Arabidopsis thaliana: one gene and its partners. The protein of the gene in region 1 interacts with the protein of each later gene in a pairwise test. Each region holds a gene or a part of one and is shown on either strand. Other genes may lie near its edges. The genes, in order: ASIL2, AT5G10210, ERF14 and AT3G08780.

The links.
Region 2: the proteins of ASIL2 (region 1) and AT5G10210 interact in a two-hybrid assay, tested with the Arabidopsis thaliana proteins (one large-scale study listed by BioGRID).
Region 3: the proteins of ASIL2 (region 1) and ERF14 interact in a two-hybrid assay, tested with the Arabidopsis thaliana proteins (one large-scale study listed by BioGRID).
Region 4: the proteins of ASIL2 (region 1) and AT3G08780 interact in a two-hybrid assay, tested with the Arabidopsis thaliana proteins (one large-scale study listed by BioGRID).

The regions. Positions count from the first base shown.
Region 1 is NC_003074.8:4,705,203-4,712,198, forward strand, and holds ASIL2 (sequence-specific DNA binding transcription factor), read right to left. Parts: upstream 3,975-6,996; 5' UTR 3,420-3,974; coding exon 2,088-3,419; 3' UTR 1,600-2,087; downstream 1-1,599. Other genes in the region: AT3G14190 (uncharacterized protein), read left to right, coding at 5,705-5,771, 5,856-6,131, 6,218-6,261, 6,394-6,588. UniProt on the Arabidopsis thaliana protein: Transcription regulator that may repress the maturation program during early embryogenesis.
Region 2 is NC_003076.8:3,203,202-3,208,903, reverse strand, and holds AT5G10210 (nitric oxide synthase-interacting protein), read right to left. Parts: upstream 2,765-5,702; 5' UTR 2,669-2,764; coding exon 2,075-2,668; 3' UTR 1,925-2,074; downstream 1-1,924. Other genes in the region: ANN6 (annexin 6), read left to right, coding at 120-195, 878-1,023, 1,099-1,317, 1,409-1,924; AT5G10200 (ARM-repeat/Tetratricopeptide repeat (TPR)-like protein), read right to left, coding at 4,537-4,583, 4,678-5,702.
Region 3 is NC_003070.9:1,170,999-1,176,408, reverse strand, and holds ERF14 (Ethylene-responsive element binding factor 14), read right to left. Parts: upstream 1,377-5,410; 5' UTR 1,233-1,376; coding exon 831-1,232; 3' UTR 641-830; downstream 1-640.
Region 4 is NC_003074.8:2,664,477-2,670,425, reverse strand, and holds AT3G08780 (BRISC complex subunit Abro1-like protein), read left to right. Parts: upstream 1-2,865; 5' UTR 2,866-2,973; coding exon 2,974-3,864; coding exon of another isoform or gene 3,865-3,912; exon of another isoform or gene 3,913-3,999; coding exon 4,000-4,050; 3' UTR 4,051-4,363; downstream 4,364-5,949. Other genes in the region: AT3G08790 (ENTH/VHS/GAT family protein), read right to left, coding at 66-484, 704-868, 967-1,052, 1,149-1,230, 1,315-1,460, 1,561-1,674, 1,766-1,864, 2,096-2,174 and 1 more; LTP6 (lipid transfer protein 6), read left to right, coding at 5,642-5,949.

The DNA of each region.
Region 1 (6,996 bases):
AAACGCCATTGAAATTCAAGTGAAGTCCTGCTCGGATCAGACCATACCTGAGAATAGAAACAAAATGAGATCTTCGTCTGTTTCCGATGAATCAGTCTCTTTCAGATTCACATTCGAATAGTTACTATCATTGTCGAGATTCTTTCTCTGCTTTCTATATTCAGCATCCTCTTCTTAAAGCTTATTAAAACCCTAACAATGAAGATTGTTTTCTTCTGTTTTTGGCTTCACTCAAAACTCTCAAGTCAACTTCGTAATTAATTTCACTTCCGCTGATGGATTCAATATCTCTCCCATCATTGTGTGTCTCCTTCCTTCCGCCGTAATCTATCTTTGTCAAAAATCTACTTTAGAGAGAGAAAGTGAAATCAAGAGAAAGAAATAAACGTTCTTCAGACAAAAATCACCATTTTTGTTGACGTGAAGTAGCGTATACGATGACAAAACAAAAAAAAAAAGAGAGTAATAGAGCGTAAAATTTGAAATATTAAATTAAACAAAAATCAAAGAAAGTCGGCAGTAATTACGAAATTCCGGAAACAGGTCTCGCCGAATCCTAAACGGCTTTCGTTAGTTACCCATAATACCCTTTTATTCTTCGAATTTATTGCTGTGAAGTATATAAATTGGAGGGGTAAATTAGTCTCTTACCCACAGATGGGCCAAGGAACAAATGGGTATATTGGTACTTTGCCTTTCAGATCCAAATATTTAACGTTAAGAGTAACAACGATTCGCTGTTTTAGAGTAAAATCTCTATGTGCAAAATGTATATTATGTTAAATAAACACTGTACTAAATAGATGCTGACAAAAAGAAGTATTTAAATTAGAGCTTATTCTACTCTACTGAAAATTAATAATATTAACACCAACCATTTTTATTCCAACTTTTGGAGACACTTTAAATCAAATGATGGACCCCCTGAAAAAATATCTAATTATAGGATATCACTCTTTATTCTTCTTTAATTTTAATGGACAATTGACCCTAACTATATATTTATAATGGAGACATGGCTTTAAATCCTACCCAATTCTTTCTTTCTTTTTGGTATCTTTTCTTGCCCACTTTAAAAAAAAAAAAAGAATATTCATTTGTTACATTAATAATTTACTATTTCTTTAGTAATCACTACTTTTATTGCTAGATTTAGTTCCAAAAAAAAACTTTATTTTGAAAAAAAAAACTTTATTTTGAACTTTACTAAGGAAAAATCTTGATTAGTAATCCTAGTGATACCAATATATCATTAGATAATATCTAATCTATATGTCTAAACACACGTGGACCTTTGGAATCAAACTCTTTTCTACCTAAAACAAAAACAAAATTCAGAAGATTTCAAGATGCTTTATTTCTTACGTTTTCATTATTGTATTCGTTTCAAAAAAAAATAAGAATAGTGCAAGTTAGAATGATGTTACGGTGGGACTCGGAAGATGGTATTTTTACTCAAATATCATGATTCACCTTTCGATACATGAATATTAGCTTAGTGCGGAAGGTAAAATTGTGAGAAACATCTATGTGTAATGAATTTGAATTGACTGTCATTTGTTTAGTACCTATAAAATGCCAAAAGGCAAACATCATAGAAAAATAAATAAACAGACCAACGAAAAGGTTTCTTGCCTAACATTCTTCTTTTATAGAAGATCATCATTGGTGGTTTGAATGATGCTTCAGACACAAGAAAATCTAGCTCAAACAATTACTCAAAAGAAAAAGAGTTAAAAAAATGCTTTTAGGTACACATGCAAATCTCCAATGTCATAATAACCAAACATAGCTTTAAGATTTTGCGGTTGGATTGTGTCAAAAATGTCCTATGCCATGTTCTAACCTAACTAGTGAAACACAATCTAACTCAGAGATTAAGAGAAGTTCAAAAACGTGCACAAGAGTCTGCAGCAGAATGATCTCAGGCAATCTAGTGAAGTTAAATCTGTTCCATATGACCAAAGTTAAGAAAGATATGCAAAATATTAATACACTCATGAAGCCTAGATAAGTTTCAGTTTCTCTTTCAACAATTAAAGACTCAAATCTAAAATATATCAATTACGACACTGCATCACTAAATTCTAGTTATTACCCAAATCGTTGTTGTTGTTGACAATCGCATTGATGTTGTTCTTGCGGCTGTGATGATGATCATTACTGGTGTTTCCCATTCTCCTCCCATGTTGCTGCTTAAGTTGTGATATCTCCAATTGAGTCTTCACAAAGAACTGCATTCTCTGCAACTCAAGCTCCTTCAAGAACTTCATCCTCTCTTTCTCCATCTCAACCACCTGTTGCAGTTTCGCATTCTCTGTTTGCTCATAAGCTTCACCGAATCTCATGATTGCCCGAGTCAGCTCCCTCCATTTGTTCCCCACTCCATCACCATCTTGCTTCTTCTTCTCCTCCGTCTTCATCCTCTTCGACAGAGGAGGAGGTGGTAAACTGTCACCGGAATCATCTGACATTGCTGCTTCAGATTCCGAGTCTGAATCAGAAGCGTTCCTCTTCCTGAAACGCCAGCGTTTCGACTCACTACACCTTTTCACCATCATCCCTTGCTGCTGTTGCTGTGGCAGTGTCCTACCTTGCTGTGGCAGAGTCCTCCCTTGCTGTCCAAACGGAGCTGAACGGCTACTCATCGGAATTCCCATAGGTACATTGACAGATCCTCCTCCGCCTCCTCCACCACTGCCACCGAAAGAAGCAGCTGAGACTCTAGCCGTAGCTCCAATTAACCGGTCAAGATTATTGAAAGGCGGTGTTGCAGCCTTAGCTTGCTGATGGTACAGATTCGAACGACTTCCCATTGGAATACCCATAGGAATCTTATGCAATCCTCCGACAGGACCGCTGACTCCAGAAGTTGCCGTCGGGATCTTCGCCGTTGATCCAATCAGACGGTCAAGCTTGTCGAAGAACACCCATCTGCTACGGCCACCGCCGTTAGCGATTCTCACCTTCTCTTGTTTATACTTCTTCTTCACCGTATCGATCCTATTCTTACACTGTATATCAGTTTTGGGAATTTTACCGTAATCCTCTCTGCTGCTCACAATCTCAGCCACCTCTTTCCAGTGCTTCTGCTTCAGATTCCCTCTGCTAAGCTCCAAGTATCTCTCACCCCACGCATCAATCAACACAGCCGTAGCTGCTTCGCTCCAACAATCCTCCCTCCCGCCGCCGCCGGTTGGTCTCCCACTGCTGTTATTCCCTCCACCGCTGGCCTGAATCGGAAGCAGCGCCAGAGCCAACGCATCCGGATCCTTCTGCGACGAATTACCCGGAGGAGTCAGAGAATAAGAAGGCGGACCTGCCGAAGCCACCGTAACCGTGATTCGTCCCGCCGGCGGGGAGGAAGACGGATCAGGTGAATCGGAACCCTGAGATCGGATGTCTTCATCGTCCTCCATGGAATTCGATATCGCCGGATCTGAGTCAGAAGCTCGTGAAAGAGGGAGATAGGGTTAGGGTTTGGGTTAATATTCTGTTCGGGAGGGGTAAACGGGAAGGAGACGGCGTCGGTGAGTAGAGGGGACACGTGGAAGGACGTGAGAAGATACGGGGAGATGACGTGGAATGACGTGATTGGTAGGTCAGAGGTAAGATTCCGTCACCGGTAAAGTTGCCGGCTCGGTTTAGGGGTAAAAGATGGGTTTGTATCGTAATTTCCCCATTTCTTCGTAATCCGATGAGGAAGTGTATTGACGGAAAAGCCCATCTAGTTTTACTATAATTACCGGAACTATCCCCGTGAACCATTTTTCCGGTGATGTACCGAAATTACCCTTAGCCTAACCGTCAGTTTCAATATCGGTCGTAGACTTTTTTTAGTCCGTCGATAGTTTCCAGTTGTCTTCCTTCGTTGTCTTGCTTCATTCGTTAAATCGATTCGAATTAGTCTCTCTTTTAACAATAAGAACGGTGACGTGGATGTTATTTACTTTGGGCATGGGTTTTTATTGGGCTTTCCATACGCTACGTTAGCATGTTATCACTTAGTATCATTTTTTCTTTTCACCATTGTCAAAGATACAACTTTAAACATTCCAGAAATACTATGTTTCAAAAAGACCTTATATAATCTTCGTGAATTGTGAAACAAACAGAAATTTAATATTTCTCAAATCTCAAAACACCAAAAGCGACCATTATGTTATGTACACAGCAAATATATATATACAAAGAAAAGTAGTTTGGGATACTTCTTCTTCTCGTAGAAATACCTTGTAATATTTTTCAACGGTCCAATGCGTTTAGCACAATCCTGCAGTATTACCGGACGTTAATTAGATATGGTGGTACTAATGAAAGCGATAATGCGTTGGATAAAATGAAGTATAGTTTGAGAGGAAAGAAAAGAGAGGGAGATCAAACCAATCGCAAGCATTGAGACTTGTAGCATGTGTTTCACTTGGTGTTCCAGCTGCATACAAATGATTTTGGTAATCATTAATTTACAAATCCATAATACTCTCAAGCTAATAATGATTATGGATGTCAAAATAAAAAAAAAAAATAATAAAAAAAAGCTTATAATGACTATGAACATATGTATCACCTTGCAAAGTCTTTAATTTACATGAATATATAGGGTTTTAACTGCTCATAACACAAGCATAGAAGATAAAAAAAAAGTGGATCAGAAAGGATTTTTAAAAAAGGTAACATAAGAGTCAAAGGGGAAACGGGGTTGCTTGAACGGTCAGGAGAATTCGGGACACGTTTCAGATCCACCATCAACTTCCGGTTGGCACTTTCACCGGATATGTGGTTTCTCAACTTCCCGAGACCATTTTCCGGCGTTGGACCGGCCAAAGTTTCATCCCACAACTTGTGCGAAAAACCCATATCTCTGATCAAATTATTAGAAGGGTTTTTCTTGTTAATTGTCTCTAATGTGTTTTGAAAAGAGTTTTTTTTTTGTTAAGTCTTCTTTATGTGAGGATAATGGTTTTATATAAGGAACAGGAACGAGAAGCGTTGAATATCCTTGGTTAGACTAATTATATACACTTTACCTATAATTTAACCTTCCAAAATTAAGGAGATTTAATCAAGGATGATGATAAATCTAGCCGATAAGAAGATAACTTAGAGAAGTGTGACATGTTTTGCTTCTATCTTACATGATAGTTTGATGCCGTCAATTTGATTTATGTGATGGGCCTGTACCTGGGCCAATTCTTGATTAGGCCTGCATTAAAATATTCTGCCAACGGCTAGAAACTTTTTCTCTTCTTCTATAAATTTACTTTTTTTGGCCTAATCCCGGAGGTTCTTCATTATTTCGTCAGAACAACATTGAAAAGTTACCGTTAAACACTCTAAGCGCTCTTCTTCATCTTCTTATACACTTCTCTTCCAACAAGAATCTCACCAAGAAACTTCTTCACTTTTACAAAGGTAATCTCTTTCTTCCTTCTGATTTAGGTTCACATTATAGACTGTTCTTCTTGCGATTGTTTGTTCTTCTTTTCGTATGTCGCTACTTGATTCGTTCTGGGTTTCTGGGGTCTGTGGTGTTAAATTTGCTTGAGGATCGAATTGGGTTTTGTGAAAAAAACGATCTTTGTTTCGATTTCGAGTTGGGTTTCTGTTACCTTTTTTAGGGTTTCTAATTGCTTAAAATCGTCAGTTCTGGAATCAAATCTTCGTTTCTGCAATTGGTTCTTTGATGATTCACAGTTAAAACCATATGGCGAACATGAACGCTCTTCAACAAATGATCTTCCCAGACGAGAACGCTCCAATTCATCGCAAAAGTAGTTAATCTTTCTCTACTCTCTTTAAATCATATTGCTTTGAAACAAAGATTTAACATTTTCTTTCTTGGCTATTATTTACAGAGTCTGTCACTGCTGCTTCTGTGAAATCCAAAGGGACTGTACTTGGTCAGAAGAAACCTGGAGGAGCTCGTAAGGCTCTGAATGATATTACAAACAAGTCTGGGATTCATGCGAAAGCTGCTGCTTCTTCAAAGAACAAGCAAATTGCTTCTGCTGCTGTGAAAGAGATTGATATAGCTGGGGAAAGGTTTTTACATGATCACAGCAAATGCATCAAAGAACAGCAAAATCTTTGGGATGATCACTACTCTGCTGATCTCATGCTACTTCATCATGGTATTGTATTTAGATCTTCTAAGCTATGATGTTTAACCAATCTTTGCGAGTAAGCTTGTGCTAAACTTGATCTTTTGTACTTGCAGGTTCCAGCATCAAGGAGAAGCATCTCAATTGGGACATTGAAAAGGTACTGTACTTAAAAAACAATGTCTATCTCTCTGTCTTTGATGGAGATTTTGGTGAGACTGCATCTTTAATCTAGTTTTGGAACTTAAAGTGACACTTTTTATGACTCTATCCTATGTGTTTTTGGTTTCAGATGGATGCTAAGGACGATCTGACTTACGAAGAACCAGAAGAGATGGCATCGCCCAAGTTTTCTGATTGGCTGAAGAACTCGACTCCATGGCGCTCTCCAATCCGTCATGGCTCTATGATGCCTTCCACTCCTCTGGCTTGGCGGTTCGATTCATGCGAATTCACACTTAAAGAAGACTCTGACGACCTCTTCTGAGTTTCTGTTTCTTAATGTCTTCAAAATTCATCCTTCAGATGAAGTAGTAATAGTAGTAGTGGCGTTTATCTTTTGTTCAGCTCTTCATGAATCACTCTGTGTCTATCACTTTGTAACTGGTTTCAGGAAATAAAGTTGGTATCTTTTCAAGTATTTTGACTATTCATCAAATTTGTGCCATATTCAGAATCTGAAGTTTCGATTTACACTGTCATGTTTCAAGCCACAATCCTAAACATCATCAGAATTCACTTTTACAAACATTCATCTCTTCAACTGTGAACTTACATTGCCGTTATCCTTGACACTATTGGTGACTTCTGACTCTTCTCTCACTGTCTCTATCCTCGCGACTGTTCCGTAACACCTCTAATTGAGCTTTAAAGGACTGCATTTTCTGCAACTCAA
Region 2 (5,702 bases), on another chromosome or scaffold:
ATTAATAAAATATAAAAAATTGGGATATCATTTCATTATTTAAGACAGTGTGCATGTTCCTCGTCCCACATTTTCTTCGTCTCATCTAGAGAGCTAGAGAAATATTCAGTGGTCGGAGAATGGCGTCTCTCAAAATTCCAGCAAATATTCCTCTTCCCGAAGAAGACTCCGAGCAGCTCCACAAGGCATTCAAAGGTTTTCATGATCCATCCCTTCATTGTTAGATTGATTTAGTAAAAGTTAAATACTAGGCCTTCACATTCATGCTTTGATTGAATCATTTGCATTTTGATATTATTTAATTGGGTTGATTATCAATAGTTCAATCTATTATCATGACAGGTCTGATCTACTGATCTAGCTTGCTGGTTTGGTTGATGACACGTATATAGGTTTAATTTTAAGAAGTGGATGATAAGTTAGCTCTTTTTTATTTCGTTTTTCAAATGATTCTTAGGAAGTCTTAACTTCGTGAAGTTTTGTGGTTATACTCCATTGCATGATTCTTTTGTTACGGTGCAAAATTGTGTGACATATTATTTACTCTTTTGCTGATTTTGGATGCAATTGATTTTATGTTGGAGCGTTTCCTGACCGTTTGGTTTGTAATCGACGATTAGACAACTCTTTTAAACAGATTAACTTGTTGCTTTCGTAACAATTTTTTTATTCAGATTTAAACCCAAAAAAAAAATTCTAATAATCTTCTAAGATTTTTTCAAGCTTGGTTTTTTTTCTACTAGCGAACATCAGCTTTCTTGTATATTTACAGTTAATTTCTAACTGTCGTAAAATTTTGGTTTGGTTTAGTTAGGTTTTGTTACATACTCTCTATCTGACTAAACTTGGGTTTGAAATTTGTTTTTGTGTGGCGCAGGATGGGGAACTAATGAAGGGATGATCATATCAATTTTGGCTCATAGAAACGCAACGCAACGCAGTTTCATTCGTGCCGTTTATGCTGCTAACTACAATAAGGATCTTCTCAAGGAATTAGACGGAGAGCTTTCTGGTGACTTTGAGGTTTGTCAAAACTAAAAGATACAAAATCTATATTTCTTCATCTTATTTTGAACATCTTACTTTGCTTGAAAACAGAGAGTTGTGATGTTGTGGACTCTTGATCCAACGGAGAGAGATGCGTATTTGGCCAATGAATCTACCAAATTGTTCACCAAAAACATTTGGGTCCTAGTTGAAATCGCTTGTACTAGACCTTCTCTTGAGTTTTTCAAGACCAAGCAAGCATACCATGTTCGCTACAAGACCTCTCTCGAGGAAGATGTTGCATACCATACATCTGGAAATATCCGAAAGGTAGTGAAAGATTTATGTATATCATTCTTTAAACCAATTAGTAAGTTTCTGATGATATGTTGTTTTGTTTTGACCACTTGTAAAAATGCAGCTATTGGTTCCTCTTGTGAGCACCTTCAGGTACGATGGAAATGCTGATGAGGTCAACGTGAAGCTGGCTAGATCCGAAGCTAAGACACTTCACAAGAAGATCACTGAGAAGGCTTACACTGATGAAGATCTCATCAGAATCTTGACAACAAGGAGCAAAGCACAGATCAATGCAACACTCAATCACTTCAAGGACAAGTTTGGAAGTTCCATTAACAAGTTTCTCAAAGAAGATTCGAACGATGATTATGTTCAATTACTCAAAACCGCGATCAAATGCTTGACATATCCAGAGAAGTACTTTGAGAAGGTTCTACGTCGAGCCATCAACAGGATGGGAACAGACGAGTGGGCACTTACTAGAGTGGTCACTACAAGAGCAGAGGTCGACCTGGAGCGGATCAAAGAAGAATACTTACGCAGGAACAGTGTTCCTCTTGATCGAGCCATTGCTAATGACACTTCTGGTGACTACAAGGATATGCTTCTCGCCCTTCTTGGACATGACCATGCTTGAAACAACATCATCGTTTCATAGTCTTTTATAAGACAGTTGTTATTTGTTTTTCATTTTCTTTGAACTTTGGTCCTTAGTTTTTACATTTTACTGCAACAACTTATTCTGGTTTCTTTGAATCATCTCTTCTTTAAATTTTATTCTTACAAACTAAATCCCAGCTAACGCACAAGCTACAACAAAAGCTTCATAATCTACGCAGTTACATGTTCTACAATCTTTACACTCACAAAGATCTTCCACTCTCTTAGTGTTCACGATTTTTGAAGCTTGCACTTTTAAAGCTATCTTCAACAAAAGAGGTTTATGCTTATCACAATCTTCCAGAACGTGATCTTTTGTCTCATCCATCACTACAAATCTCTCTATTTCCATCCCATCAGTCTCTATAACCGATTTCCAAAAAATCTTTCCTCTACCCACCAACTCTGATTTCGACCACTTCTTCAAAAACGGCGTCGTTTTCCTTCTCCGTAGTTCGAAAACAACACTTTGTTGCTTCAATTCCTCGACCGCGGTTTCGTTCCCTTGGCACTCCAGACCGAATGATTGGTTCCAGGAAATGACCTCACAGTCTGATCTCGAACGGATCTCTGGAGTGTTTAGTTCAATCTTACTGTTATTCCCTGCATGGAGATAGAACCTAACGAAGAGAGTGGTTGGCGATGACTTGAGCTCTACGTTTCTAGCTTCCACGATTTTCACTTCAAATTTAAGGGAACGAATGTTTTCAACGATACCCATTTGCTTGAAAATTTCGAATCGAACCAAGAATATATTATTTACCAAGGTAATAACAATTAGAGCAAATTTAAGAGCAGTGAGTTCCTTTGTGATGAATATGTGCATGAACAAATTCTCACTAGCTATTTATATAAATCTATGGGGAATGTTCGAGGAAAGTTTACACTAGATTTCCACATTGTACTTATTAAAATATTCTAAATTTCTAATCATGTTTTTAACTTTTTATTTTTTTCTAATCATGTTAGTGAAGGCTTAATATTTTAGAAATTAAAACTCTTGAGCATCTCAAAAGACCAAGGGTCGATTTTAATAATGACTCTTGCCCATAGTTTTGGGAGATAATTAGATAGATACGTAGGATCACCATATAAAGAATTTTTATAATTTGCAAAAAGAAATTAAGGTGTGCCATTTTGAAGACTTGATCATTATTATATTACATTTCGCGTGGACACATCCAATAGCCGAAAGTTGTTTTGGAACAGAGTCAACAGAATCAAATTAAATAAGAACAAATTATTAGTAGATACATTCGATTGCATATATTAAAATGAGTATGGAATTTGACTCAAAAGATATAATTACAAAAAATATTAGCCACGAATCCCATGATCAATTGTAGTCATACAAGATAGACTTTATTACATAAGAAAATCTCCAAAAAAACTCTTATCACACAATTCATTGTTGACAAAAGTTTTGTATACTAATAATATCATCTATTAAATTTTACAAAAACAATTTTAGTTTCAACTGGTTTTAAATTATAGAAAGAACAAATCATTGCTAATAAGCATAGTCATAAACTCATAATCATGCAGAAATTGTGTTTATTTTGATCATCTCAAGGGTAATGGAAATGTCAATTTAGGTTACTTTCGTTACTATTTACTTTTTTATCAAACACTTTCGTTACTATTTAAAAAAATCTAAATCCTAATACTAACTTACAAAACCCAAATCATTATTTTCTATTACAAAATTTAAAAAATACTTGGAATTTGAAAGAAAAAAACGTTTTTACAATACTTACTTGTAGTGGGTTGCTCATAGTTAACCGAGTGAGTGTTTTCTTACATAATATGAAAGGACAGCATTGTTTTAGTTCATATCATCCGTTGGAGTTATCCAAAGGACAGCATTTTTAAACTTAGTGTACCAATTTAGAAAACGTCACTGCAATTTGCAAAAAGACATCAAAACTAAGAAGATCATCTCAAGAGCCTGACGTAAAAAAAAGGTAAATAGTGGCTTGGTACATATCCTCTTTCCTCCAATCAAATTTCACTCTTGTGTCAATATCGACTATGCATATGATCCTCGGTGGACTAAATGCAGATCTTCCATTTTTCAAAACTTTTACTTTACAATATCGCAATCCAATAAGCTAAGACCCACAAAAATTCTCTATCTTTGTACAAATTTTTTATTACTGTATTAGCTAACGTGCGAATATCCATTTAAAATGTTTTTTAATCTACAATCTCGGCCAATCATTGACCCCCAAAAAAAAATATCTCTCTCAATCACAAATCATTTCTTAATATAAGGAAAAAATATTTTTTTACAAATTGGAACTCCTCTTTGTCTCTGAATAAATACACCACAAAATAAAAATAAATAAAATCACTGAAAAAACAAAACAATTGTTCCTTTCTTCTTTACTCCTTCAAAATGGATAAAATTTTACCACAAATCCTACAATCACACAAAACTAAATAAAGAAACGAAAAAAAAAAAAAAAAGTAAAAGAAAACTTACGATATCCATGAAGCAAGTTTCTTGCTTGTAAAAAAGACTCAAACCCATTCAACGTCTTCTCTGTTCTTCAACTTCTTGTAACGACCTTGTTGTGTTTCAAGGTTTCATATTTCATCTTCTGCAAGCTTTATGCTGTATCCATGCCTCATACCTGAACAAATTCATAGATTGTGTCACCAATAAACCATTAACTAATTTGAAATCAAGACAACAATGTGTTGATCATAATCATGCAAGAATCTCACCTTTGGCAGAAGTTTTCTCATTTTTCTCACTCGATTTATCCCGGTTCTTCCACTTCTCACCGTGACCTTCATCTTCCTCCTCCTCCTCCTCATCATCAAGTCCCATATGATCCCTTCCATCATCTCCTATATCACTCTCACTCGCTGTTTCCCATTCCGAATCATCTGTTTCATTTCCATACACTTCCCTCTCTTCACCTTTCCTATGCACACCTCCATGCTTCAATGCCGCTTCTTTAAACAACCAAGCTGCACGCATCTGTTTCTTCACCAACCTCTCTGCGTAATCAGGAACCTTGTTCTGTCTCATGGAGAGATCCGGATCATTCGACTGAGAACATTCGTTGATGAACAGAATCGCATCTAACAAACTCTCTTTAGCTAGACCTAACATATCATAAGCCTGAGCTCTTCTCCAAAGACTCTTAGCATGCCGGTTTACAGGATTGTGCAAGCAAAGCGCACGTGTAGCGTCACTTATAGCAACCAAAGGCTGTTGTAGCAAGAGATGACACTGAGCTCGATTGCTATACAACACTACTCTTTCCTTCTTCGACCTCATTGGGCATAGAGACAAAGCTTCCGAGTACTTTTCCGCTGCACCCGCGATATCTCCTGATGAAAAGAGAGAGTTTCCTTCGAGTTTGACCACTAAAGCTGCTGCTTGTTTGATATGAAGGTCCTCTTTAGGCATACTCTTCTCCCATTTCAGTCTCTGTCGAGAATTTACCGTTTCTTCGATCAATTCCCTTGAACGGTTACCCATTGAGCTGCATTCTTGAAGAACACTCACAATGGAATCTCCAAGTTTCTTGTGATCACCCAAGTTTGTGATCTCTGCAAGATCTACAAGCGTTGGCACCGCCTTATCAATCACCTTGTGAGACGTATTAGGATCTTGAAGCAACCAAAGAAGACATTCAATCGCCATATACTGCCAATCATCAGAAGAACGAGCGATATTACACAAGGCCTCAATCATTCCTGCACATGCAGAGACAGGTCCACGACCTAGTTTATGCTGA
Region 3 (5,410 bases), on another chromosome or scaffold:
TATAATTTTCCAACTAAAATGTTTTTTTTTGTTATATTAATATTTTTATCTTGGGACGGAAAACAAAAATTAATGCCTTTAAAGTATATGGTTCTAGCTTCTATGGTGATCCTGATTCCTGATAGAAGCATGGAATTAACGCCGAAGTCTCTCATCTCATCTTCATGGCCGTGTGGTGTGGGTGATTTTCTTTCTCCACGTATTTATATTTTGTCTTTAAAAACTCATCTATCAACTCAATGAATTATTGTCCCCACAAGTTACTAAACTCATCAGTTGCTTATAAAAACTATTTTCAAAATGTACATGTATATATGCGTCTACATATGCCTTTCCAGTATAATTCATGAATGGAAGAGCAATAACAAGCAATGGTAAGATGAATTCCATATTTCAAACGTATAACACAATGTACTTGTACATGCTGGTAGTTATATTAATTAGAGCGATGTAATAGGTTATATTGATATCTTATAAATTTACTTTGATTTATTTTAAAACGTTTAAGCTCGTTTAGATGAATCACAAGAAGGTAACAAATATATCAAATCATAATTACACGTCACAAAACATAAAAGAATATGTTTCACATAATCATTATTTTCATTAATATTTTCTCAAAACTAATTGCACAAGGAACCGTTTGAACTTTGAAGTTCAAGAAACTAAGATGACCCGCTTAAAGAATCTTATTCGTTACAGAAATCGATTGACAATTACACTTCATGCCAATAATTGAAACAGCTTTGTACGCTTGGGATTTTATTTTATTTGTTATAACTGAAAATGGTCTTTCACATAACTTTCAGTTAATACCGATTGTATTCCCTTTATTGCCTCTTGCCCATGTTGATATTATGAGTCTTGTTATAGTTCTCTCCATATTCAAGAAGTTCATCCAAAACGCTATCGTCCAAGTACTCAAACTCAAAAACTTGCTGCGACGAGGAAGAAGAATTAGCCGCAGTGGATGAGGATCCGGTTCCCATGTTATACTCGTGAGGGAAGTTGAGAATGGCAGCTTTGCCTCTCATTGAATAGGCGGCTCGGTCATAGGCTCGAGCCGCGTCTTCCGCAGTGTCGAATGTCCCTAGCCACACACGCTCTCCGTGCTTCCTCGAATCTCTTATTTCCGCGGCGTATTTACCCCAAGGTCGTCTCCTTACTCCACGGTACTTCCCTTGCTCGGCTCCTCCTCCTCCACTACCACTGCTACGACCTCCTTGATCCATATATCTGTGTATGTGTATATACTGTTGTGCGTCAGAAGAGAGACCAAGTGACAAAGAATAATAAGAAGAATTGGATGTTCTAAGAGTTGGAAACGGACACAAGATGTAGCGTCTGTTTTTTTTTTTTTGTCTTTGTGTGTGTTTTAATTTTGCATGGATTAAATGAGATTTGATTTGTGGAATTTATAGGCAAGGAAACAAGTGGGTCCATCAACCTAATATTCGAAGTTCGAAAAACTCCACTTATGAAAATTATGTAGATGTTCTTTAGACCTTTTTTCTCCTTCAACATAGATGTTTCTCATAAAATAAATTTTCTTTTTCTTTTTCTTTTTTCATTTTTTTATAATAGATTTTATTTTGAGAATTTTGTATTTTACATATATGTACAATTTTTTATGGCTATAATAATATACATGTATGGGGTTTCGGAAATGTACAACATTAATAATATGGTAAGAATCATGTGCAACAAAAATATAAAACAATTTTTTGTTATATCCTTGAAATTATTATATTTTGCGTTTATATTTTACATTATATCTAAATTATTAAATATTTATATCTAAATAGAGCTTATAAGGTTTAACTCAAGTTGAACTTTTGCAAAAAGTAGGAAATTTATGATAAAATTAGACAGTCTCTTGAACTAATTATTATAGAAAACTATATTTGTATGGTATTTTTTGGCAACAGCAATGGAATTTTATGTTACCAAAAATATGATGTGTACTGAATAAAAGAGTTGATTGGAGGACCCATAGGAATATGTTTGACTTGGGACTTCGTTAGTGCCCACGTGGGTTGACTCTCAAAACCGACTCAGAAGCTTTCGTTGGACCATAATAAATTTTTTGTTTAATACAGAATCTACGTGTGGGGGTCTAAGTTCTTGACATGACTTTACATTTTGGAGAATTTTTTCCTTCTAGATATATTTTCACATCAATTAATTTTTATTGAATAATTTGCAGTAGATTAGATCAATTAACTTTTCTTAACATCAAGTTTACGAACATACCACTAACGAAGAAGAACAAAAACGTTTACTAAGTACATTGAATCGGCCTTGAATTGTTTTCAAATTATGCATATATTCTACATAAAGCTGGAAATTCATTACTTATTCTACCTTAAAAGAAAATATAAGATTTTGTTTTTCAAAATGTCGTATAAAAAATTGAGCTAAATATTAATCGCTAAAATTTTTTATGACATTTGAACTACTTTCTCCATCTTTGCCAACGTACGGTACCTGAAATCTCTAGAAATTTGATCGAATCAAATGTTGGTTGCGTTTGTAACTTTGTATATGCATTGAACAAATAAAAGTTTTTATATTAGTAAGAAATGTTTGTAAGTTGTGAACGCAAATACAAAAGGTATTCGCAATTTGATTTTATGCTTTGGAAATCACGCTTCCCATGTACGATAATCTACATTTTTGTTTGTATTTAAAAGCATTAATAAGATATCATATTTTCATTAAATATAATCACACCATTTAGTCCTCTAAAATATACAAAACCAAAAAAAGTAGTCAGCTTAGAATCAAGTAATTTGTAATTGCCTTATACACACTACAGTATATAGTTGTTAACTGAAAAACAAGAATCAACAGCCTATAATACCTTACATACTCTAGAATCTGAATCTTTTAACTTAAATATACGACTTCGTTGAGCCAACAAATATAACTTTCTTTAGTTAGCTAGGTCCACAAAATTAATCGCTAAAGTTCCATAAATATAACAATAGATGTCACAGTCAATAAGAAACTTATACGGAAGGACTTCGTATAAGTGAACATTCCATAAATAGTATCTTTCACCCGTAAATCTCAGATATTTTACTGACACTATACTCTGTCGAAATTGACTTTTATAAACCTATTAGCCTAATCGTCACGTGGGCTTTTCTAATAAGTCATTAACGTTAAGTCAGTTGAAATAAGGATAACGACATGTCCAATGTACCTAGTTGATCATAAATTCATCATCATGGTCACAATGTACCTACTTCTTCAAGTTTTCTTTTTGTTACCTTTTTAAAAATATATATTTTAAAATACACTAATTGGCCCTTTTTGGCTGCTCCTAATATTGGATTCGATCTTATAGGTGTCCGTACATATTCGAAGTCTTTTTTTTTAGACTAGAAAACAAAGTTTTGGAGTTCCCTTTCCTTCTTTGTTCTTCTATCATATCTGAGTTCCTTTCCCTTTCAATCACATTAAAATAATGATTACGATTTTATTATGTCGTTTAAATCTGACTTGCCTTTGACTTTGAATCGGTCCACGACAAATATTTTTTTGGTAAGTTATGACAATTGTTGTAGTGCCTGTATATTTTTTTTAAAAATGCTTAAACTGTCGCATAAATGCGACCAAAAAATAAAATACTGTCGCATTAATGTTTTATTTTGGATAAACCGAGTCTATGAACAAACAAACCAAAACAACCGAAAACTGGGCGACAAAAAAACAACAACTGAAAACTGATTTTGTTGAAAATTCTCGGTAGACGGTAACAAATATCATCGAAAACCTACTGTACTTCAAAACTTCCTTGTTCCAAAAAACAAAAAACAAATCTAAGGATTCTTTTATATTTGAAAAAGAAATTTAAAATAGAGCCTGATTGAAAATAATTATTATTATTCAATTGTTCATTTTTTTTCTTATCTTCAATATACATTTCCGACGTCTTTCTTGAATTGAAAGGAGAGATGAATCTACGTTTATTCAACAATAAAAAGAATTAAATTTAAGAAGATTGGAATTAACGTCTATTCTATTGTAAATTAATAATCTCTGGGAAAAAGAAGATTGTGTGGTTTCGATTGATATAGAATCAGAATCTATATTGTTGTCGCCATTACGACTAGTGTAAGTAAGGGCTCTCGAGGTTGGGGACAACATATAGCTAGAACTAAAGTCTTTTTATGTCTTCGTGCATGAACCTACCAATTGAATAACATAGAATCTATAGTAAAAGGTTTATTTCAGAACAAGAACCCTAACATATAGATGAAGCTTTTAACTAAAGGTTATAGAATATCAAGGATTTATGGGTTAATCTATTTCTTTTACCAAAATCGATAATACGTTGACCAATTTTTTGGATAATCTTCGATCAATTACAGCGGAGTTCCAATGGAACAGAATTTATTAACTATATTTTTATAATTAGCACTATAAATAAGAAATTTATAGTTTAAGTACCTTTTAACTTTCATTCTTTTAATTTGAGAACAAAAATAACTTTAATGAACTCAAAGATATTCATACAATATTATGTATGGTTAATATTAATGCTACACATTATTATTTTCAAGATGACATACACTAGTTTCATTTTAAATATATTTTAAAATTGACACAGTTTATTTTCATTTTAATAGATTGACATAATCTTTGCACACTGAATATATGATGGCCCAGCCCAAGTTCACTCGTGACCCACATATGGTCCACGCAGCTGCCCAAAATGGGTCTAGAAAAACTAATGGAAGAATGGCGAAACATAATTGTTTTTTTTCCTGTCAACGAATGGAGAAAGAGAAAGTGAAACAAGTGAAAGCATTTTTTTTTACAGTTCTCTTTTCTGGTAAAGCATTTTTTTATCTTTTTTTTTTGTTGTCATCAGCATTTATTTATGGTTGTTCAAAAAAAATAAAAAAAATTATGGAAACAGAACAGACGATAGAACAAATTACATCACATTATTCAATTTTACACTAAAGAAATTAATTTTATTTTTGTAACATCTTGCTTTATTTTATTAAAATGAAAACAGAGATTACATAGTTATTTCTTAGACATACACATAAAACCAAAAATTGATTAAAATTTAAGAAATTAATTAACTAGATAATTTAAGTTAAAAAAATTGTTTTTTGTAAATTGTGTCTCATTAAATTATAGGATGTTTTGACTCGCACACATATCAATGGTTCAAAACGTTGACCCCAGATTGGTTTCTTTAAATGGTAAAGTAAAAGTCAACCTTTAGTTTGAGATAATAAAATTTAAAAGCCAATTAATTTTCTTTTGAAATTTATTTACAATTTCTTGTTATGAGATCTACATTATTATATACAGTAACACTCAGTTAGATATTAATCTCTTGTATTTAGCCAAACCAAAAACCATCGGATCAATGCATAAGTTTTGG
Region 4 (5,949 bases), 2.0 Mb from region 1:
AGGATTAGTTTGAGTTTTCTATAGGTACTGATATCAGTCTTGAGTTTCAGGTCCAAAATGAATACCATAGTGAGGAGAGGCGGGCGGGCTAAAGTTAGGCGAAAATGGTTGGTTTCCGTAGGCAGGAGAAGATGGTTGTTGAGTAATTTGGAGATTCCAAACAGGAGCAGATGACCCTTGACCATAATAAGATTGCTCTTGATGGCCAGGTCCAAATCCATTCGAGTAATTTTGTTGCACCTTCTGATGATTTGCGTGAGGATTCGAAGTTGGAGTAGAGCTTTCGCAGTTATTATCTGACAACATATCGATTAAGACGATGGAATTATCTGGCTTTGCTACGGGGCTACTTGGTTGTGGAGGTCCGAGAGGAACAAGAGCTAATGAGTTATCCGCATTCGGAGTCTCGAAGTCATCACCACTTAGAAGGTCTATTTTTGGACCATTGGTTGTATAAGCCACAACACTACCATTTTTGGTCTCACTGCAAAAGAAGTTCAAAAATATTTTAGAGTGTAAAAGGCCAATCTTTTTAATCTTTCAACCTTCAATCCTTAACCACTAAACCAATGCCTATACATCAAAATATAACACACAATACAACAACAAAATAATTCTTAAGTTTTTACACAATTTAGTCAAGAACCCAAAGATATTTCAAAATAAAACATTTAATAACTAGAAGTCTAGAACTGTTTCTTACCTTGAACCAACATCTATGATTTGAGTTGTGTCCTTAGGAACTTCTTTTTTAGATTTTTCTTCTTTTTTAATCATACTGTTTCCAGAGGCGATGGCTTCGTGCTTTGCAAGTAATCGCTGCAAATCGTCATTTAAGGCTAGGCCTTGGCAAAGCATAGATTCATCTCTGACACATGAACCAAAACGTGTATAAAGAACATATATTCGTCAAAATTGTTTAGAGTTTCAAAACAAATTTTGCAGGTAAAAGTTTCAGATCTTTACGATGTCGAGTTTACAAGGTGCACTACTCTTTGTTTATAGGTGCGACATTGGCTAACAAGATCTACAACAACCTCTTGTTTAAGTCCCTGCAAAGGTGAAAAGAAAATACATTCATTTGGTAGATTCAATGTTAACGAAAAATGTTATATGAATTTTCAGAATCTAGGTGTTAAAAGATATACCTCTTTGTTGTTTCCATCTATTGCGTTCATCATTTCAGCTAAGACATCCATAATTCCTCTTGCGTTTTGAATTTCTGTCAAACTTCAACCAAAAAAATGCTATTTGATCAAATCTTTTTATGTTGAATATTCCTAGAAAATAATGAGCAATAATTAAGATAGACACCTCAGAGTTGGAAATTCTGACTCTGTTGAAGTATCAATAGCTTCTTGTCTAGCGTTACGAGAATTCTGAGGATACCTTGTCGAAGGACCATTTTGTCCTGAACTGGGTGTGATTTGAGGTCTTTGAGGGAATACAATTCCTGCACGCTGAAAACAGATAAAAGAAATTAAACGAAATACTAACATTCAAACCATATCTCCATCGGTTCGATTAAAATGGACATGTCACAGCAAAAATGAAACATACCAACAATTCTTGGTATGCTGCGTAATATTGTGGATGTCTTCCTTGTGGACCTGAAAAGCTCTCTTGCCAAGTATCTATAAGTATCAATATCTTCTCCTTCACTTGGATGTTAGGCTATAAGTTTAACAAACAACATGATAAGTTAGGTGTCACACAAAACTATTGTTATAGATTAAACAATCGTTTAAAAGAAACATAGCCTGACCTTCCTTTTGGCCATCTTCACCATCTTATGAAGTATATCCTTCTCTGCAACTTGCATATGAATAAGTTCTCCACAATTGGTTATTATTGTCTCTAGTAACTACAAAGTAACAAAACCAAAATATGTTAATCTTCTCATAAATAAATTTTTAAAAAGGAAGAAAATAAAAGTAAATATCTGAATACTATTGGTTGTGTACATATCATACTGAAGTGAAGTTTGGTATTAATAATGTAAGAACATCTCATTCTATGCAAAACCGAAACTGAATCCAAAATCAAACCAAACCAAACCAAAACATGAATATCAAGCCCTGGTAGTAGAACTTACTGTAAGAGCCAGAAGCTGAACCTTGGAAGTTCTACTAGTAAGCCTCTTCTTTATGCCACTCACTACCTCTCTCGTTTGCCTACAAACACACACTCACATATCATTAGAAAAGTGGAATAAAACCAAAAAAAAAAACATCAAAACCAAATCTGAACCATCCGAGTCTTCAGTGATCAACACAAATGTAGTATAACCGAGATCAACAAAATTACCATTGATTCTCTTTAGGAAATCACAATGTCAACAATTACCATTTTTCCTTTAGAACATTGATTCGTATTGATCACCTAGAGCATTGGACCAAGGATTTTACAGTCATTCAAATACATTTTAGTGAAAAAGGTCTTACCCAGGCTCATGATTAAGCATGTCACATATCTCGAGGTTCATGGCCCAGTCAGGACCAATGAGCATATCGCTTGTAGCTCTATCAACCAAAGGATGCACCATCTTCTTGGTTTTTTCCTCTGTCCTTCAAAAAACTCTGAGCTAAGAAGTGTTGTTTTCTTCCTTGTAGTCTGTAAAAAGATATTTTGCTCTCTTCTTAATTTGCAACTAAGAAACAACATGGCGACACTTGTAAGCACCGTTGCTAGTTGCTGCTACATCAATGCAGAAGATTAAGGAACTAATTGACCTTTCATATTTCCCTTTTAAAATGTTTTTCTGTTTGATTGGGCTTTAAGGTGAATAACGGGCCTCGAGTGTGGACATTTATGCCCATTTTCTTTCACAAAAACGACACGCTAACTACTCGTTAGAACACGAAACGCCACGTCGTCCTAATGTGCTGATACAATTTTTATCTCGTTTTTATTTGCACAGAGAGAGATTTCAGTGACGTCACATCTTTTCCTTTTGGTGTTCTTCTCGTCGCCATGGACGATCTCTCTCTAGAGAAAATCGAGATTTCGGGTCCAACATTGGCGTCACTGATTCAACGAGCTTCATCTTCTCCCAGTGACGTCGATGGCTTGATCTTCGGCCAAATCCACCGAATCGTCTCTTCTAATCTATCCGACGATTCTCCGGCGGATATCGCCTCGAGTTCCTCCTCATCTGATCAAATTGTCGCCACCGTTACAAGCTTTATCTGCTCTGGTAAAACTGTCTCCTTCTACGATCCGCTTGGCCGAGTTGACTCGCGTCGAATCGATTCCCTCCGAGTCGACTCACCGGACCACCTAATTGGGTGGTTCTCCGCCCGCAGGAAAACCGCTAACCGTCCATCAATGAGAGAGTTAGCCGTCACGTCGTCTCTCTCGTCTCAATTTCACTTACCAATCGAGGATTTGCAAAACCCTAGATCGATGAACATGGCTTCATCCGTGTTCTTTCTTCTTACTATGCCATTGACGGATCAGTGCATTCACACGCACGAGTACCGTGCGTACCAGTTCCGATCCTCGAAACAACGGCTCGAACCTAGATCCGTTGGTATAGTCAACATTGGACCAGCGTTTCGAGGCCATTACGGTTCGTTTAGTCCGAAATCGGGATTTCCACCGTTGATCTGCGAGTTGAGTAGCTCAGCCATGAGCGTGGATTGCGATGAGAGTTCCTTGAGTGCGAAGAAACAATCAGCGAAAGATCAGAAGGAGATCGATGCGTTAGCAGAGGGGTTTCAAGTTGGAGAGTTGAAACGTTTGGTTGGAGCTGAAGCTGCGAATTACACAGGCGGGATTGAAGAAATGTATGAGAGAATGCTGGCGAAGATCGAGAGCTTGGCTTCTGATGTTGAGAAGAGCTCGGCTAGGGTATTTCAACAGGTACAAAACCATCTTCAAAATTCGATGTTATTGCTATTCAAGAATTAAAGTGGTTTTGTTGTTCATGTTATTGATTGTTGTCTAGCAAAATGTTACTGAATTGTACCAATACAACATCTTCAATGGTTCTTCCAGGAAAAGCATAATAGGAAGTTGAGAAACCGAGTAGCCAGAATCGGGAGATGAGGCTTCTTTTGAATTTCTTTAAGGTTTTTTATCGAGTCTATATACTTGGAATTCAATCCAAGAGAACACTGGCTAGTAGTGGCTAGCGCAATCGGAACTATATGCGGGAAACGATTTGTATTATAGTTTAGCGATTTCCTAGTTAAACCTTTCCTGGCTAGATTGATTTGTCACAAGAGATCCCTTTTCCTTGTATGGCTAGTTTTTGTTTGAAGAGAAACAATCAAGAATGGGATTGATTCATGTCAAGAGTTTCTATAATTGGGCGTATAATATATGTTTATGAAGTTTAATACTAAGCTAATTAGTTGCATACATATTGATACCAATTACCAAATGGTAGAGCAGAAATACCCCGACATGACTAGAGATAGGAAAAATGATATCACCAGAAGAATGAATACCTTTGAGAAAATTGATATATGATATTGAAGTTCTGATCAACAGTCATTATAATTTGTATAGACGTTTAACTTTGTAAGGACTTTGGAATTGATTAAGATGGGAACTTTTATTGTCGACATGAATGGTATGACACTGAGGCAGAATGTTCAAGGAGGGTAAATGTTACTATAAATACCATGTGAATGTGTATAGTATAGTAACATTATTCAATTGATCTCGAATTTTATTGACTTAATTTTTGATTCAAGAGTTGTAAAAGTTGGATACAGCCCGTTGGAATGATTTAATAATACAAGCTACAGAATTTGGAATCAAACCGAATACATGTTTCTTCTGAATCAGGTTTTTGGTTAAGGATCGGCTAAACCGAACAAAATTGGGACCACGGCTCAAATTACTTGATGGAAACCAACCAAAACGGTTTCTCAACGATCAATTTCACACCACAGCTCTTAGTACTCGAAGATGCTCCTTCATATTTGTGCTATCTTAACTACTTGTAACAACAAAACGTACCAACCGCACACTTCATTAATCTCTTTATCTAGAGCGTCAATGCACTATGAGCAGCGATACAACTCAATATCCATCGCCTAAAAATTGTCATTATTTTTCCTTTTGTCGACGTTGATATTGACATATATATTACTACACACATGGGTTAAACACTATCCAAATATATGTAGATGAGAACTGAAATCCTTTTTATTTGTCAAAGCAGTTTTAAAACTTTGAATTTTATAATCAGGCATTAAATCATACACTACTGAATTAAACAGCATTTCAAACCAGTAAGAAATTAAATACTATCCAAATTCCTATCTTAATCTATTAGTCTTTTTCTTTTCTTTAACAACTCTTCTCATTGTAGTTGGTATCAGTGTTTAATTTAGTAGGCCTTTTTTATTGATTAAGAGATGAATTTGGATAGTTAAAGAAGAAAAAATGTAATTAAAAAGAAATAATATTGTTAGATACAATGCAGTTGAATCCGGAGGGTTGGATCTTAATTGGCTGAAGGTAAACATTAAATTCTTCCACAACTAACTAACAGTAACACTCGTGTCCTAGCAATCACTCTTCCTCAACTACCAATCTCAAACTCTTTCCATCTATAAATAACCTCTCTATTTTCTAACCCTAACCATAACACAAATACACCAAAAAAAAAAAAACAGAAAGTAACATGAGATCTCTCTTATTAGCCGTGTGCCTGGTTCTTGCTTTACACTGCGGTGAAGCAGCCGTGTCTTGCAACACGGTGATTGCGGATCTTTACCCTTGCTTATCCTACGTGACTCAGGGCGGACCGGTCCCAACCCTCTGCTGCAACGGTCTCACAACACTCAAGAGTCAGGCTCAAACTTCTGTGGACCGTCAGGGGGTCTGTCGTTGCATCAAATCTGCTATTGGAGGACTCACTCTCTCTCCTAGAACCATCCAAAATGCTTTGGAATTGCCTTCTAAATGTGGTGTCGATCTCCCTTACAAGTT